2 linked regions of the Bombyx mori genome follow. The protein of the gene in region 2 binds, or shares a complex with, the protein of the main gene of each other region. Links are inferred from orthologs where the notes say so. Each region holds a gene or a part of one and is shown on either strand. Other genes may lie near its edges. The genes, in order: G-protein-signaling modulator 2 and disks large 1 tumor suppressor protein.

The links.
Region 1: the proteins of disks large 1 tumor suppressor protein (region 2) and G-protein-signaling modulator 2 are in contact, whole or in part, in a crystal structure (PDB 3TVT), measured with the Drosophila melanogaster proteins. The link is inferred for Bombyx mori from reciprocal best matches to the Drosophila melanogaster genes dlg1 and pins. Residues at the interface, in NP_996406.1 of Drosophila melanogaster: Cys808, Val809, Pro810, Arg814, Arg817, Arg824, Asp825, Tyr826, Ile839, His842, Phe844, Ile845, Glu846, Ala847, Gly848, Gln849, Tyr850, Tyr855, Ser877, Asn879, Arg883; in NP_524999.2 of Drosophila melanogaster: Arg434, Met437, Gln439, Leu440, Asp441, Leu442, Ile443, Lys444, Ile445, Thr446, Pro447.

What each region holds. Positions count from the first base shown.
Region 1 is NC_085107.1:20,243,486-20,247,318, reverse strand, and holds part of G-protein-signaling modulator 2, read right to left. Parts: intron 3,298-3,833; coding exon 3,019-3,297; intron 2,851-3,018; coding exon 2,611-2,850; intron 2,084-2,610; coding exon 1,819-2,083; intron 1-1,818.
Region 2 is NC_085118.1:7,814,311-7,818,143, forward strand, and holds part of disks large 1 tumor suppressor protein, read right to left. Parts: intron 3,133-3,833; coding exon 2,999-3,132; intron 2,441-2,998; coding exon 2,321-2,440; intron 1,915-2,320; coding exon 1,785-1,914; intron 1,030-1,784; coding exon 921-1,029; intron 364-920; coding exon 322-363; intron 1-321. UniProt on the Drosophila melanogaster protein: During embryonic development, some isoforms are essential for proper neuronal differentiation and organization. Required for cell polarity; maintenance of apicobasal polarity.

The sequences.
Region 1 (3,833 bases), on a different chromosome or scaffold from region 2:
ATATTTTTGCCTTGGTTAGCGTACGAGTGGTTCCTGGAGCCCATGGACATCTACAATTACACACATATACACATGGACATATAAAATTGTTTATTTATTTAATTATATCTCAAGTAAAGTTTCAATAACGTAATATGATTGATGTATGTGTATGCTTTGAAGAGTTCCAATACGAGCATAGAACGGTACAAGCGCGACCGCGGCCTGTATCGACTGACAAACGACTCCGATGATTGTCGCCGAATCCAAACGCACATCAAAGTATTAGTACTCCCGGAACGAATCACGATTTGTCGCCCACATTTCAATTGCTCGGAAAATTTTACAACCTTTCCTTTGAATGTAACGTCGTCAATAAGCTGTTCAGGAGAAGAGGGAGTGTCTTCAAAGCGTGCCGTGGTAATGAGGAGACACCGCTGTTAGATCTTAACTTTCATAGCTATAAATGTTAAAACTAAGCTGCTCTACTGAGACACTTCCTGTATAAGAATAGCGATATTTTTAATTTCTATTTCAAACTTACAATAATTACATGATTGCACAGCTCAGTAATGTTGTAACATTATGACTATTCTCGATGCAGTCTTAAGGAATTACTTATATAGTTTGTTGTCTTTTTCTTGGAGTTAACTATTAGCTTTATTATTTAAAGAAACCTTATTCGAAAATAGCCGCATCGATTTCCTAGTACAATATGAGAGAACTAATATTAATTTAAAATTATGAATATTAGATTATTTCCCTCTAATGTCTAAATAATTTAATATTTATATGTACGATATAAAGTTAAATTTTCGTCAAAGGTAAAAATTACTTAAACAATTTTTTTACTACATTTTTTTTAATGTTTTATTATTTATTATGTTTCGATACGTGTGTGTACGAGAACAAATAATTGTAAGACACCTCACCACCGAGCGACTTGTGAGCACGCACAGGTAAGACTCACCAACCTGCCTATTTTTTCCGCGGAGCAGTAATGGGTTCTAGTTTTGCGTGGGTCAACCTTTATCTAATGCAGTTGAGTTTTCGGCCTCATGTCCCAAGATGGGTCGCGGTATTCATGTTGTGCGATAAGCATATCGGCTGTGGTAACCACTTAATAACAGATGAGCCGTCGTTTCAAAAATCAAACCATAATTTGACAAATAGTAAAACTTATGGTTGGTATGACCTCTTTCAAGCAAACATGTTAGAAGAAAATTATGGCACACAGAAAAGTTGCGATTATCAAATTATTATTATATTTTTTTTTATAGTTAGCCGTACGCGATCACTCATTATTATTAAAAAAAAAAATTAACTATATCGAAATTATAATTTAATTTGCCTTTAATTATTAATTACACTTGTTCTTTATTTTTTCTTTCAATTCCGCACTTACATTAGTGAAAAATATGAAAAGCCGTTGACGATTTCGAACGTAAGTATTGCGAAGTTTTCCCGCTAGAGAAGAGTGTAGGTAAAGCGCGCGATGAGTCGCGGACCGCGCTGTGCAGCGCTGTGAGACCACTGAGCAACCGCCCCCGGCCGCGCGCACCCCGGCCCGACCCCCCGGGACCCGGGCCCCGCCGGAACCGAACGCCACCTAGCCTCTCGCTATGCACTAAATAACTTTAATGGAAACTGCAACACTATAATTTCATACTGTGGATGGTTCGCAAATTCGTTCGGAAAATACGTAAGGAGACACTGGACAGTGGACGTCCTCATTTCGGAAATACATTATGCGAATTACTTATGTGCGATGTGAACGTATTCCTGAATATATGAACAAGGCAAAAACATTAAAACGAGTGGGTAACTGATATTACTGACCTCTTTCGATATGGTATAATGTTCAATGGCATAATACAATGCTTTCTCGTGGTTGCCGAGAGCCGCGTGGGCGTTGCCCAGAGACCAACAGGCCCTGCCTTCGCCAACTCGATCCTGAAGCTTCCTGGCCGCCTCCAGGTGCCTAGCATGGTACTCTTCCGCAATTCTATACTCCCGGAGTAACGTGTACGTATTCCCTAAGGAGTAGCAGGCTTGTGCGACCACCGCTTCGTCTTTTAATTCTTCGGCAATCGCCAAAGTCTGTCTGAGAACAATTTATTGACGATCATCGAGAGTCACCTGACTGAGTTGTGGAGAGGACGAGCACAGCACAAAAACGCAAAGCAAAATATGTATCTCACACAAACATAAACAAAATTAAAATTAACAAAACATTAAACAAATAAATCAATCGGCAAGGAATCGCGCAAGTAGCCGGCAGCGTTGCTATGTGCAAACATTATTTTACATGCTGTGTAAGATTTAGCTAATGAGCTAGTCACTTCTTTATATAATTATGTCGCCACTCGTTACAAATGATCATTAAAAGTACGAATTCATAAATCAACTTGCACAATAACTAATTGTACTCACTAAAATTTACGTATGACGCTAGATACAGTTTCATGTGATACATCTGTCGAGGAGTCCTGCACTGAACAAAACACACGAATTTCGCGCGCTGCAGTCCAAACTAATATCAAACAACGTAACAGGATACATGGCTGTAATAATCTCGTTAGGAGTTTCGGTTTCACATTCGCCGTCACCTACCACGGTATTCAAACTCACTTGTAATGATCGGCCGCGTTCTCAAACTGCCCGAGGAAAATGTGTGAGTTTCCAAGATTGCTGTGGGCGCGTCTTTCGGCTGCCTTGTCTTTACATTCCTTGGCCATTTCCAGTCGCTCCGTGTGGTACTGAACAGCTACATTAAATTCACCAAGCAGGTAGTAAGTGTTTCCAAGGTTGCCGCAAGCCCGACCGATGGCTAGGCGATCGTTCAGCTCACGCATGAGTACCAAATTTTGTCTAAAATCATTTGGCATATATAAACTCAACATAATAGTAGAAAAATTTACGTTTTTGAGATCTACATTATACAAGTACATACAATGCTGTTACTTTGTTATTTAACCGGAATTTTTTAAATAAGGAGACAAATGAATATAAAAGAATAAATATTGATGGAAAACTCACTCATAATAGTTGACTGCTTGTAAAAGGCATTCGCGCACCTCTTGGGGAAAATGTCCCGGATCGTTTTGTCCGACCTTTCCCAGATGTTTACCTTGGGCATGGTATACGTTGGCCAGGTTGTACAGAGCTCTACCCTCGCTATTTCTGTCGCCCAGGGAGCGAGATATCTCCAGGTGTCGGAGGCAGCACTGTATGGCCTCATTGAACTTTCCTATTACTTTAAGGGTGTTGCCTAGATTACCTGAAGCTTTGGCTTCGCCCAGCTTATCATTCATGGTTCTGCGAATAAAGTGACACCTTAATAATGTGACAGAAATTTCTGAGTGTAGTATGTGTACAGAATTTTAATTTAATTTAGTTATATTTTAATGGAATTGTCAACTTAATAGTAAGTGTTAGTTGAAATTTTCCCCAACTACATCTTTAGGTTAAGGAACTAAACATAGATACATACGAGCAAAATGGGAATACCATTTCATTTAAATTTTATCTCGTATTACGAATCTTTCAATAAATGTGAATGGACAATCTAAACAACTTCCTGTTATAAGTATGAAACAATCACAGAGATCTCATAGCTGCAAACTCATTTATTGAAACTTAATTAAATTTCCACAAACTATCGACAAGAACTTACAATTAATTAAAATGTAGACAATAAATGTTGGAAGTTAGTCTTTCTTAGTAAAGTTAGTCTTTCTCTCTGAAGTAATTAAAATAGACGAAAGAAAATGCATTCCAAATGCGTGCAGCGACACGGCCGCGGCGAAATTCAATGATCTGATCCACACAGATTTGCAATTAAGGAGAAGTAT
Region 2 (3,833 bases):
TACACGCTGAATCGTTTCGATAAACCAAAAATAATAATAATTTTATTTAACATTAGCCATAATAATATAATTGTGAGTTGTACGAAGAGTTAAATGTAAATTAATTGAAATAAAATAAGAAAATACATTTGACTAAAACAGTTCGTCTTTTAAGACTCAATCGTTGTTAGGTAAAGCATAGCTTTAATGTAAAGACAACCCAACTTCAGACAGATTGGTTGTTAGCGGCCGCACGAAATAAAAACTGCGTAATGACCTACATACATTTAATAGCAAAATGGCAAATATATATATGATCGAGGGCGGACATGGTGCACTTACCGTCAGCGTTAGCGTCCTCCTGCGTGTAACAAAGCATGAAAGCTGTAACAAATTGTATTATTAGTTTTTTTTTTAGCCCGTCGCATATTATAAAGTATAATACTTTCTCTTTCTCGCGCGAACGTTAGAAGAGGACGAACGGTACAGGTCGTATAATATGCGGCACGAGCTAAACAGCTTCGTTGATGAACGATCTATTAACTATTTTTAGTTGTTTAGATGTTTTTAACTTACATTAGGAAATTTAATTTCAATAATTTTTAATTCGCGTTCACATAAAATTTAAAATTTTCCTTGCCAAATTTTCACAGTGAGAGTATAAATTAGTGTACCCAAGCGATTATAAGTGGGAGCCGATGAGTCGAAATCCCATGTTAGTAGTGCAAAATTGTACATGGTTTTTATAGTATAAAGCTCTATAGTTTCTAAGCTTCAATTAATTAATTTGACCATCAAATTAACAAACTTGTTGCATGTATCATAGTTTCTCTTAAAATGCTGTGCTCTTGACTAAAAAATGTGTTTATATAAAAATAATTATGAAAACTTCATACCGTCAAAAATATGAATGTGTTGAAAATACTTTAAAAACGACTTACGTTCTTGATCGGAACCATCTTCAGATTTGCCGTCTTCTCGACTCTTCATGAATGGGAATTTTCTACTGAAAGATAAAGTTTTCTTTTTCCTTTCCAGAGTGGATTGGCTCTTGAAAAAGAAATCATTTGATGATTAGTATTTTTGGGAAATTACAAAGTTCGAATATCGTGCCAGCCAAGGTGTCTCTTAAGAAAATACATAAAATAGGTTTTATTAAACAAGTTGCACTATCAGGAAACACATGCTCTGTTGCTTTTAAATTTAATATAATTTTGAGGTAATCGTGACCTAAAAACGACACTACTTGTTGGTGTATTCATACCAAGTGGTTTGCTAAAATGGTATGTTTTCAGTATGTGATCCACCACTGGGCGTCGATTTAACCTTTGAAGGTACCAGTAGTGTAAGTTAATAAAACTATAACGCTCGTTCGAATTTAGGGGCTTACTCTCCCTTAAACAGAATCCTTTGGGACTACAATAATGTCCACGGTAGCGCGGCGGTCTCCGTCAACGTTCCTTCGGAGTTATCCAATTGCGCTGAACTAATTTTAAGTGAAATAGATGTTTTTTCTAATTGTCTCACAAAATCTGTCGCGGATCATGTCCCAATTAAATATAAATTGATCTTAAGCAATCAATCAAATGTAATCAAATCTTAGTTTTATAATTTTTTAATGCACTGTCGATTGCACCTATAATTGTGGTGACATCTGCCATGAACTTTTCTCAATTTGTCAATGTTTTGTATTGATGATCACTTTGTTGGTGCAACTTAATAAATAAATAAATAAAATATATAATACTGATTTACATTGACCCCAACCTAGTGAGTTGGATGAGGATAAAACAAAAAATACTCACCGTACTGACCGGTGTACCCTGTCCCTGGAATTTAACTTGTCGATCGCGTGCCCGCTGTTTTCTTTCCCATCGACGTTTCGAAGGAATTATACCGATAGCATCGGTGTCCACTTTATCCTGACCCAGCCTTCTGGAACATTGATTTATAAATTTGCAAAACAGTGACATTGACATCTGACTTTGTGTGATGCTGAAACAACTATCTCTAAAATGAAACTAAAATTTATAATCAAGTTGGTATGTGTTGCTGTGTAGCATTCACGCATTTCCAGACTAAATTAAAAAAAAAGGGTGGACGAACTCACGGCCCTCCTGGTATTAAGTGGCTATCGGAACCCATAGACATCTACAACACAAATGCCACCACCCGCCTTGAGACATGATTCCGAAGGTCTGAGTATTTTGACTTTATACATAGTTTGAAAGTTTAAAGTTTGGATTGTTGTCAATGTGACAGAGTTAATGACATAAGTAATATGTGCGATGATGCTTATTAGTCCATCGGTTAGGCTATATTATACAAGAAACCAGCGTACCTGGCTTGCCACCATTCGTCATCGGACGCATTTGTAACATGCAATATATCGCCATATCGAAACGGCAATCCTCTCGAAGGTAGACCATCGTCTCGAATGGGGTCGTAGTCAAATAATGCTCTGTAAACGATAACAAACATAATTAAAAAAGCGTGGACACAATGAAAGCACTAACACTATGAAACTTTATGAAAACCACGAAGACCACTTATCAACCTATATTACAGATGGATCTGTCATGATCCCTTGTGGATAAATGTGATATGTTTGAAATACATCCATTTATTGTAACAAATAGTGTACTATGCTAACAAATTCCCTGAAGTGGGTACAAAAATACAAAAGTTAGTTAGATACACGGCCTGCAGATCCATAGAACAGGAAAATGGAAAAGCTTCTCTTCAGAAAACATATCATATCTAAAATTAAAAGTAAATAAAATTATTGATCTAACTCATTCTTTATCTCAATAAAACTACCAGTTAAAAGTGTATTAAATAGGCACATATGATTGACTTTTCTACTGCACGTTTTCCCATTACTCTCCCGTAAACTCAGAAAGTTTTTACCTCAAAAGGCCCACAACCACAGAGTTTCTATGCTATTAACAATATAAGTATGATCACACACATTACACAATTTTATTACATGGTTTTCGTTATTTTTTTCATAACCTACCTTACATACAAGGATCGTTTTTGAGATGTCCGTAATAGCGTATGATGTTGTTTCAATTCATTGATTCGTGCTTCAAACTTATTGTATTCTTGTGGACGATACACAACAGTCAATTTAACAATTTGACCCGTGCTCTAGAAAAATAATTACATATCTCTTATTAATATTTTGCTCTGCATTCTAGTATCATACAAAACACATAGTTAAAAAAGTTATTAATTTACGGCGCTGTTGCATGATCACGGGTAAATTAAGTGTTGAGAACTCAAGAAATGTGAAATCATTCCGCCATGACCTATGCAAGTGTAATGTTCGTTCACGCGGCTCGTGCACACAATCTCCAGGTCATCTTAACGACAGCCAAAATCTAGAAATGATGTGTGAGTATCTTAAGGATGCATCAGAACGCTACTTTGATAAAGCGGCACGACACGATAACTTTTTTATCGTAGTCATCTAATTACTTATCATGTCTTGTCGGATACTCCGAATCCGCTCTCGGTGCTTTTAGGCTCTCCAAGCAACAGGCATCGTCGTCGGCTAACTAGCCCATAGACACAAGCCACTGAAAATCTCTCCGGACCTTCTCAGTGGACCGCGATTCCAATTCGGTGGTAGATTCAGCGAAGTACTACTCTTGATAGGGTCAATGTTAGCAATTCTTGCGGGTTGAGCCCGTGAAGATCACGTACCGGTCCACGCGTAATTGGAATAGTCTCTTAAGCTACAAACGATTGGGTAGGAAAAAATGCAATCATTCCAAGAACACGTTAAATAATAGTGTGTATAGTGAGATGGAGAAAGTTTAAAACAATTAATGTTTTAATTGAAAAAA